Caenorhabditis elegans: one gene and its partner. The protein of the gene in region 1 interacts with the protein of each later gene in a pairwise test. Each region holds a gene or a part of one and is shown on either strand. Other genes may lie near its edges.

Region 1 (4,921 bases):
ACATCTAGTATAGAGTACTGTAGTTTCCGTGACCGCTTCTTCCAAGAATTAAATAAACTATTTAACTCACACTAAACAGTCGTCTGCACATTTACCAAATCCTTTTCGTCAACAATCCGGAATCCGTCGCCCCTCCTGCATAACTTCTCACGGAGACATCGTTTGAATTGTTGTTAATTTGTCAGTCTCGAAATGCTAAAGTTTCAGCTATTAAAATGCTCGGAAATATATATATACCAGCCGTGGACCGCACCTACGGCGCGGCCCCCGACTTTTTTGAGAAAACACATTAGATATACGGTGTCTATCGCGGACCTCGATCGATGTCTGCTGCGCATTTAGCATAAGGTTTCCCAAAATTTCGTTGCTCTGATCAGAGATCAAACTACATAGGGACAGAAGGACACGCGCTTTATATATAGTAAATGATGATATATATATATATTTTTTTTAATTTATTTAAATATCTTGAAATTTACCTTTAAAGCATCAAAAACGGGCTCTCCTCCGGGCAGCGGGGCAAAAAGAAATAACTTTTAATTGATCGGCTTTCGAAATTTGATTGCCACGTGCACTGGGTTCACGTGAACACGTTTTTAATTAAAACAAAACTTTATCAAAACTTCAAGGTGTGCCTTTCAACTGAAGTTATTTACCAACTGTTACGTCTGTTCAACATGTCTCAACATTCTACACTTTGTATTTCAAAATTAAAACGGTTGAAGGCATTTCTTTATCAAAACTGAAAACAGAAAAAAACGGGATAGGATGCAAACGGAAAAGCAGCAAAACATTTACGGGTATTAAACACACATGATGGGCAATTAAAACTTGACATCATCTTAAGAGACCTTATTGGGATGAAGCAAAACCATAAAGTAACAATTTTCGTCAGGCGGTAGAGCAGGAAGTATTATGAACTGTCTTTGTCAATCGTAGGTATTGATTAGCGGACAGCCATGACCTGTAACAGAAGGTTGTAGAAAAGAAATAAGTTGTGAATAAACTTACAATGTCATCAATCTTGAGAATTGATCGAACACATTCCGATGCTTGCTTGATAGCTGATGCTGTAACAAGAAGTGGCTGCACAACATCTTCTTCAACCATATCTGTGACATATCCCTTGCGTACGTTTACTCCATAGGAACTGTTTCCATTAGCATGGTTGTTTCTCAACTCCGTAACAGTGTGAATTGGTGACAATCCTGCGTTTTCGGCAAGTGTGTATGGAATCTGTATAACGTAACCATCATTGGTTTTAATTACTTTCAATGTAACTTACGAGCTCAAGTGCATCAGCAAATGCTCTCCAGCAGTATTGCGTAGCTCCGTGTTGGGTTTGTGCCAGATTTCGGAGTTTTACAGCGATTTCCATCTCTGGAGCTCCACCTCCTGGCAACAAAGCCTTCTTCTTAACCAGGCATCGAATCACACAAAGAGCATCGTGGATAGATCTGTCAGCCTCCTCAAGCACCAACTTGTTTGATCCACGAAGAAGAATAGAGACAGCATGTCCTGGATTTTGAACACCAGTCACCTTGATGACCTTTCCATCTCCTCCAGTTGGAATCTCTTCCACAAGATCAGCATATCCGAGTGCATCAGCATTAAAATGATCGACAGAGGCAACTGGTCGGCAACCGAGAATTCTTGAATAAAACTCGATATCCTCTCTTTCAATATCTTTGATGCACATGATCTTCATTTTGGCGAGGAAATGCAAGGCGAGTTCGTTGACAGCATCTCTAAGAATACTCTTTTGAATCAGAAGAACATTACAACCAGCAGCTTTAATCTGCTTGCAAATTTCTAGCAAGTATTGACGTTCTTCCTTCAAAGCACGATCCATTTGAGCATAATCAGTGATAATAACTTGATTTTCCATCTGAAATTTGAATGCGAATTTAAAAAATTAATTTCTTCAATCAACTCACGTCAGTTTTTGGGGGGCTAATCTGGAATTGAATGAGTCCAATCTTGGCTTTCTCAATTCTTGTTGGAGCACCACGTCCCATGGTTTTCTGATCAATGAGAGCTCCTTCGATGAGTTCGGATTCTTCAACCGTGTCTCCCATTTTCTTGATGATCTTGATCATTTTCAGGTTGACATTGGAATCGTTCTCTGAATTGATGATCTTCTTGACAGCATTAACTGCCATAGGTGCGAGCAACCATGAGTGTTGAGAAACAACCTTCGAGTTCAACGATGTTGTAGCCATCTTGTTGAGCAGAGCGTCATTTGACAAATCGACTGGTGAACTCATTTCGTCAAGAATCTTTTCAGCTTCGGCAGCAGCACTTTGGAAAGATTCAGAAATGGTAGTTGGATGAATACCTTTAGAAAGCAGGTTCTGAGCAGCATCAAGAAGAGCTCCAGCCATAACAACGACAGTAGTTGTTCCATCTCCAGCTTCGATATCTTGAGCTTTTGAAAGTTCGACGAGCATCTTAGCAGTTGGATGAATGACACTCATTTGGTTCAAGATGGTAGCCCCGTCATTGGTGATGGTAACATCCCCATTCCCGGACTGAATCATTTTGTCCATTCCTCTTGGACCCAAGGATGTACGGACGGCATCAGCAACAGCTTTTGCAGCAACGATGTTACTGAAAATGAACTAGTGATTTAAAAACAAAAAGGAACAAAGCTCACCTATTGCGAACACTCTCTGGCTTGTCCTTATCCTTGAAATTGCGCTCGCGACCGGAAGCCGATTGTCGGGCTGTTGCAGCTGCGGCTGGAACTGCTGGTGGCATCTGCAAATTAAATTATGATGTTGAAGTCAGACTCTCAGAAGAAATGAATAAAACAACTTTACGGATAGAGGGAATAATATTTTAAAACTTAATTCTAATGTTATTTTCGAACTTTTATTACATTAATTTTGATGAAAATATAGAAACAAATAATAATTCTTCTAGAAATTCTATAGCTTTTAAATTTAACGTTCAGTTTTCAAGCGGGAGCCAGAAAGATCTGTGGAAATACTGGTTTCGTGGCGAGACCCACTTGAGTTCACCAACGTGCCTCCCTTTAATTTATACTCGCATTCTTTTTATTTTCTGGCCTTGCTTGTCGATTTTCTTTCACATGTTATGTTTTGCTTTCGAAAAACGTTTTAAATAAATAATATAAACATTTAATTATATAAAATATATTACGATTTCTTGTTTCTCTTCCTCTTTCTTGTCGAAAAATCAATTTGTCTTTTTAAGAAACCAACAGTCAGCAGAGAATGGCGAAATACTGTCTGAGTAAGTTGATATACATTTGTAACAATATTATAAAATACCTCTTTTACAGAAAAAACCAGTAAGCGAGTCAGCTGCGCCAAGCGCTACAAAATTGAGAAGAAAGTTCGCGACCATAACAGAAAAGTGAAGAAGGAGGCTAAAAAGAATGGTAAGTAAAGTTTTAAAGAATGCAAATAAGGCTATTGAAATAATGGGAAAATTTTTTATTACAGGAACCACTAATAAAAAAGAAAAGACTATCAGTGTTCCGAATTCATGTCCTTTCAAAGAAGAAATTCTGGTCCAAGCAGAGCAGGAGCGCGAGAAGATAAAAGTTCGTCAGGAAGCTGCTAAAGAAGCTGCAAAAATTCATCGCATCGAAAAGAGAAAAAATAATTTGCCAGCCAATTTTGAAAGTATGGTCGCAAAAGCATCGAAACAAGGAACCGAATTTGATAAGAAAGTTGCCAGTGCTGCAGAACATGAGAAGTTCAACACCTTGGATGACAAAACAATCAAGGCTTATGCCAGTGAAGTTAGGAAGACTGTCGAGATTGCTGATGTTATTATCCAAGTACTTGACGCCAGAGATCCGCTCGGCAGTCGTAGCAAGTCTGTAGAGGATCAGGTCTTAAAAGGTGGAAAGCGATTGGTTCTTCTTCTTAACAAAATCGATTTGGTGCCCCGTGAGAACGTTCAGAAGTGGCTCGAGTATCTTCGCGGTCAATTCCCGACAATTGCTTTCAAGGCTTCAACACAAGAGCAAAAGTCGAATATTGGCCGTTTCAACAGCGCTATTTTGAACAACACTGAGACCTCGAAATGCGTCGGTGCCGACATTGTGATGAAAATTCTTGCTAATTACTGTAGAAACAAAGACATTAAAACTAGCATTCGCGTCGGAGTTGTTGGCTTCCCAAATGTCGGTAAAAGCAGTGTGATCAACAGTTTGAAGAGAAGAAAGGCATGCAACGTAGGAAATCTGCCAGGAATCACCAAGTAAGTTAAATTCAGTTGTTTTTCTAAGCTTATCAAATTTATTTTCAGAGAAATTCAAGAAGTTGAGTTGGACAAAAATATCCGTCTTATTGATTCCCCGGGAGTCATTCTCGTCAGTCAAAAGGATTTGGATCCAATTGAGGTTGCTCTTAAAAATGCTATTCGCGTCGACAATTTGCTTGATCCAATTGCTCCAGTTCACGCAATCCTTCGTCGTTGCAGCAAGGAAACTGTAAGTTTAAAACAATAATAATCGTCAAAAGCCTTGATTAAATTTTTTGAATTATTCAAACTGGTCTCTTTTCAGATTATGCTTCATTACAATCTTGCCGACTTTAACTCAGTTGACCAATTCTTGGCTCAACTTGCACGTCGTATCGGAAAACTTCGTCGTGGAGCTCGTCCAGATGTGAATGCTGCTGCCAAACGTGTATTGAACGACTGGAATACAGGAAAGCTCAGATATTACACTCATCCACCAGAGCAGGGAACTGCAAAGGAAGATATTGTTGTTCCTGCTGAAGTTGTCTCACAATTCAGCAAAGAATTTGATATTGACGCGATTGCTGAGGAGCAAAACCAGATCGTTGAAGGCCTTCCAATGGAAAGTGACATTATTGCACCACACAATTCCGACGAAGAAGAAGATGACGACGATGAAATGGAAACAGACGTTAACGAAAAG
Region 2 (3,927 bases), on another chromosome or scaffold:
GAAATCCCCGATTGTCATTGAAGCACACCTCACAGATATTGCCCAAGTCGCGTTGAATTGTCAGGGAACCCTTGTCGCCACAGGATCTACTAAGGGTACTGTAATTCGAGTTTTCGACGCCAGAACCAAGGGACCACTTTATGAACTTCGTCGTGGAACTGTTCAGGCTCACCTTCAGTGTATGGCTTTTTCACCGTGCTCGAGTTATTTGGCAGTGGCTAGTGATAAGGGAACTCTGCATATGTTTGGAATTCGAGATGCTGAGCCACAAAAAAAGAAAAATGTGCTCGAAAGGAGCCGTGGAAGCTCAAGTATTGTGAAAATTCAGCTGGATAGGCCTGTCATGGCTATTGGATTCGGAAAAAGTTAGATTTGAAATATTTTTGAAAAATTTTGGATAAGAACACTCCTAATTTGGATTTTTGGAGAAAATCTTTTAAAAAAATGTACTGTTTTTTTTCCAAAAAATTGAAAAAAAAACATAAAAAATTTTAGATATCTCGGTTTTTTTATAGGAGAAAATCAAAAATCAATAATATTCGATTTGTCGATTTTTTCTTTAAAAAAAAACGAAAAAAAATCAGAAAACTATGGTTTTATCAAAAAATATGTTATTTTTCCGAAAAATAAAAGAAAATTGCCTTTAAACTATTAAAAAATGACCGGAAATTATTGAAATTTTGATATTTTTCAAAAAAAAAAATTAAGTTTTTTCTTAAAATCGAAAAAAATTAGTAAAAATAATTTTTAAAAAGGCGAGGAAACTATGGATTTATCAAAAACATGTTGATTTTTATGAGAAAAACTTAAAGAAATTACTGGAAATTATTAAAAATTTGATATGGAAAAAAATCGAAAAAAAAACCAAAAAACATACCTTTCCGAATTTTCTGAAAAAATTTGAAAACTAGTTTTTTATTTTTTTTAAATCGAAAAAAATTATTAAAAACTAGATAATTTCCAAAATAAATTCGAAAATATTCGGCTTAGAGATCTGATATTAATTTTTTTAAATCATGTCCATTTTGTAGACGAATGAGAAATTATTCTGTTAAAAATTCAAAATGTTCCCGATTTTATTTTTAGAAATTTCGAAAAAAATGAAATTGCCCTCAAAAAATAATTTTTCAATATTTTTGAAAATTTTCCAAGCGAAATTTTTTTTCTAAACATCGAAACAAATTATCTGAAAGCGTAGCCGTACGACTATTAATTTCATAATATAAATTTAAAATTATTTGAATATTTATACATATGCCCAATTTTCAAGAAAAAAAAGTTCCAGAAACGCCGAAAAATCTGCAAAGTATCATCGCAATCTGCGCAGACGCCACGTACTGGAGACACGAATTCTACAAGGACAACACTGGAAATTTCACGAGTCATTTTGGGTCTTACGACGAATTGATCGAGGTCGCCAACGATTCATCGTTCTTCCGTACGCCAGTCGAGTAGAAATGTGGAAATGTGTATAAAAAATGTTCAAAATTGTGCTATATTCATCACTCAAACCTGCCATGTGCCTTTAAATTGCTTTAAAAAAAAAGAAATAATGCCATTTTTTTTTCCCGAGAAAGCCCCTCCCAATTGTTGGCATTTTTCGCCCTAAAATTCAAATTTAAAGGTGCAAATGGCCCTACTCACTTCATTTTCCCTCCACTTTCAATTTTTCGTACTTTCTCTCTGAATTTCCTCCTCTACGTTGCGTTTTGCTCAATTTTTCTGTTTCTGTGTGTACATTTTTGTTATTTTTTCCTTCTCTTGGTTAAAAATCCGAATAAAATTCAATTTTTCGTTTAAATTTTTTAGAAACATTTTGAATTTTCCGTTTATCGATCGGCGAAATACTCTTTTTTTTTTCAGAATTTCGAATTTTCGAACCAGAAAAATCGAAAAAAAATCGAAAAAATCTTTTTTTTTCCAGCTTTTCCGTTGCTCAGTTTATGGTCCACAAGAAGTTTGTGAATCTGACGTCGACACGAGAATCCACGTGGATTGACAGAACCCCACATCCCGCGGCACGCAATTATCTCGACGAAATGGCACCAATCAACGGAATTCGTGATGATGACGCTGCGTCAATTCGTCTCCGAGATAGCTTTCGAGATGAGGTCTCGAAGCGAATGGGCGAACTTTTGTTAAAGGGACAGACGATGTTGGATGAGTACTGCCCGACTTGCAGTGTAAGATGAAGACTAATATTACGGTAAACACTAAATTCTGAGAATGCGTATTGGGCAAATCATTTGACACGCAAAATATAAAATATCTCGTAGCGAAAACTACAGTAATTCATTAATTGACTACTGTAGCGCTTTTGTCGATTTACGGGCTCAATTTTTGCAAATCAAGATCCCGTAAATCGACACAAGCGCTACAGTGGTCCTTCTAAAGAATTACTGTAGTTTTCGCTACGAGATATTTTGCGCGTCAAATATGTTGTGCAATACGTATTCTCAGAATTTTGTGCTCCGGTAATACGTGGCCACTGACTGATTATTTCAGTTCAAATTTTTTTTTTTCAGGGAATTCTCATGGAGGACCGAGCTCTCGTGCGTCGTTGCGTCACCTGTGAACTTTTCAGAGAAAAATCGTCGGTTATTGTCGGCGAGGTTTCATTGCGTAAGGGATTTTGTCGCAAAAAATTACTAAAAATTAAATTTAAATTTTTTTATTTGAATTTCTAAAGATCTTCTGAAAAATGTCTTACATTTCGTGGCGAGACCCAGAAATCTATAGACCTATAAATTTTCAGAAGACGAAGACCTGAATGAAGCTGTGAACAACAAGATCCCAACCCCAGCGGCTCCAGTGAATAAACCAGCGAAAAAAGCAGTGCTCCAGAAATCTGCTCCAGCGAAAAAGAAGGAAGCTGTTCCGGCTGCTGCTGAGCCATCATCGTCTGATACAATTGAATCAGCCACCACTGCAGTCCTTCAGAAGCTCGAATGGGCCACCGATCGGCTCAATTCAACGGAAGAAGTCGCTCGTGTCATGGATTTTCTTTCCGTCATTCAAAAATCTGCCGAAACTCTCAAGGCTCTCCGTATTTGAATCTCATGTTGCTCTTTTTGTTTTCGAATTTTGTGGTTCAATTATTGCTTGTTGGTATAATTTGAAACATTTTCAAAATAAATAAACGCTTTTTCCATTTAAATTAATTTTTGAAAAACGTAGTAGTAAAATGCAAAGTTTGAATATCGATTTTAAGGACAATTAGCAATCAATAATCTAGAAAAATTCAGAAAAATGCATCGGACCGCCCGAAATTTTGCGGAGATCAAGCCGAATTTGTTGTTCCGAAAAGCAAAAATGGCTAGGAAATCCGCGGAGAAATATGTGGCCAAAAAGTGGGTCTCGCCACGATTACATCCCAGAGTTTTCAAAATTTAGGTCATATCGAAAATAACGAGTAAAAAATTAATAATTATGTCTTTAAGCTAATTTTCAAGCTTTGGGTCCTGACACGAGTAAGACTTTTGAACTACAGTAACCACTCCAGTACTTTGCAAAGGTGTGTACCTTTAAAGAATACTGTAGTTTCAAACTTTGATTGCTCCTGAATTTTTGTCGATTTTTCAGACTTTGGATAAAAATGTGTTTACTGTTTAAAAAAACCATAAGTTAAAAAAATCGATAATATATCCGCAAAAACTAGAAATTACAGTACTCTTTAAAGGCGCATTCCCATGTGCATTCGGCACCGTATTTTTTAGGCAATTCATTCGCATTTGGGTATAAAAGCCATTAAAACACGAGAAAAACCAGGAAAAAACTGAAAAAAAATTAAACGACTGGTTACGGTAGCTGAAAAGTTATTGTCGTGCCAAGACCAAACAATACAAAAAAATTAATAGCGAGGTTCTACAAAAACGCTATTTTTACAGAATTCAAGTACCTGAACTGCAAGGAGAAGCACTTTTTGGC

The links.
Region 2: the proteins of cct-4 (region 1) and Y39A1A.3 interact in a two-hybrid assay, tested with the Caenorhabditis elegans proteins (one large-scale study listed by BioGRID).

What each region holds. Positions count from the first base shown.
Region 1 is NC_003280.10:8,281,507-8,286,427, reverse strand, and holds cct-4 (T-complex protein 1 subunit delta), read right to left. Parts: upstream 2,762-4,921; 5' UTR 2,761-2,761; coding exon 2,657-2,760; intron 2,611-2,656; coding exon 1,938-2,610; intron 1,889-1,937; coding exon 1,286-1,888; intron 1,237-1,285; coding exon 1,012-1,236; intron 965-1,011; coding exon 947-964; 3' UTR 717-946; downstream 1-716. Other genes in the region: nst-1 (Guanine nucleotide-binding protein-like 3 homolog), read left to right, coding at 3,240-3,258, 3,308-3,406, 3,471-4,236, 4,285-4,468, 4,544-4,921. UniProt on the Caenorhabditis elegans protein: Molecular chaperone; assists the folding of proteins upon ATP hydrolysis. Known to play a role, in vitro, in the folding of actin and tubulin.
Region 2 is NC_003281.10:10,594,485-10,598,411, reverse strand, and holds Y39A1A.3 (Sjogren's syndrome/scleroderma autoantigen 1 (Autoantigen p27)), read left to right. Parts: upstream 1-1,924; 5' UTR 1,925-1,943; coding exon 1,944-2,183; intron 2,184-2,525; coding exon 2,526-2,622; intron 2,623-2,755; coding exon 2,756-3,054; 3' UTR 3,055-3,154; downstream 3,155-3,927. Other genes in the region: epg-6 (Ectopic P granules protein 6), read left to right, coding at 1-365, 1,280-1,455; Y45F3A.9 (rRNA methyltransferase 1, mitochondrial), read left to right, coding at 3,250-3,350, 3,888-3,927.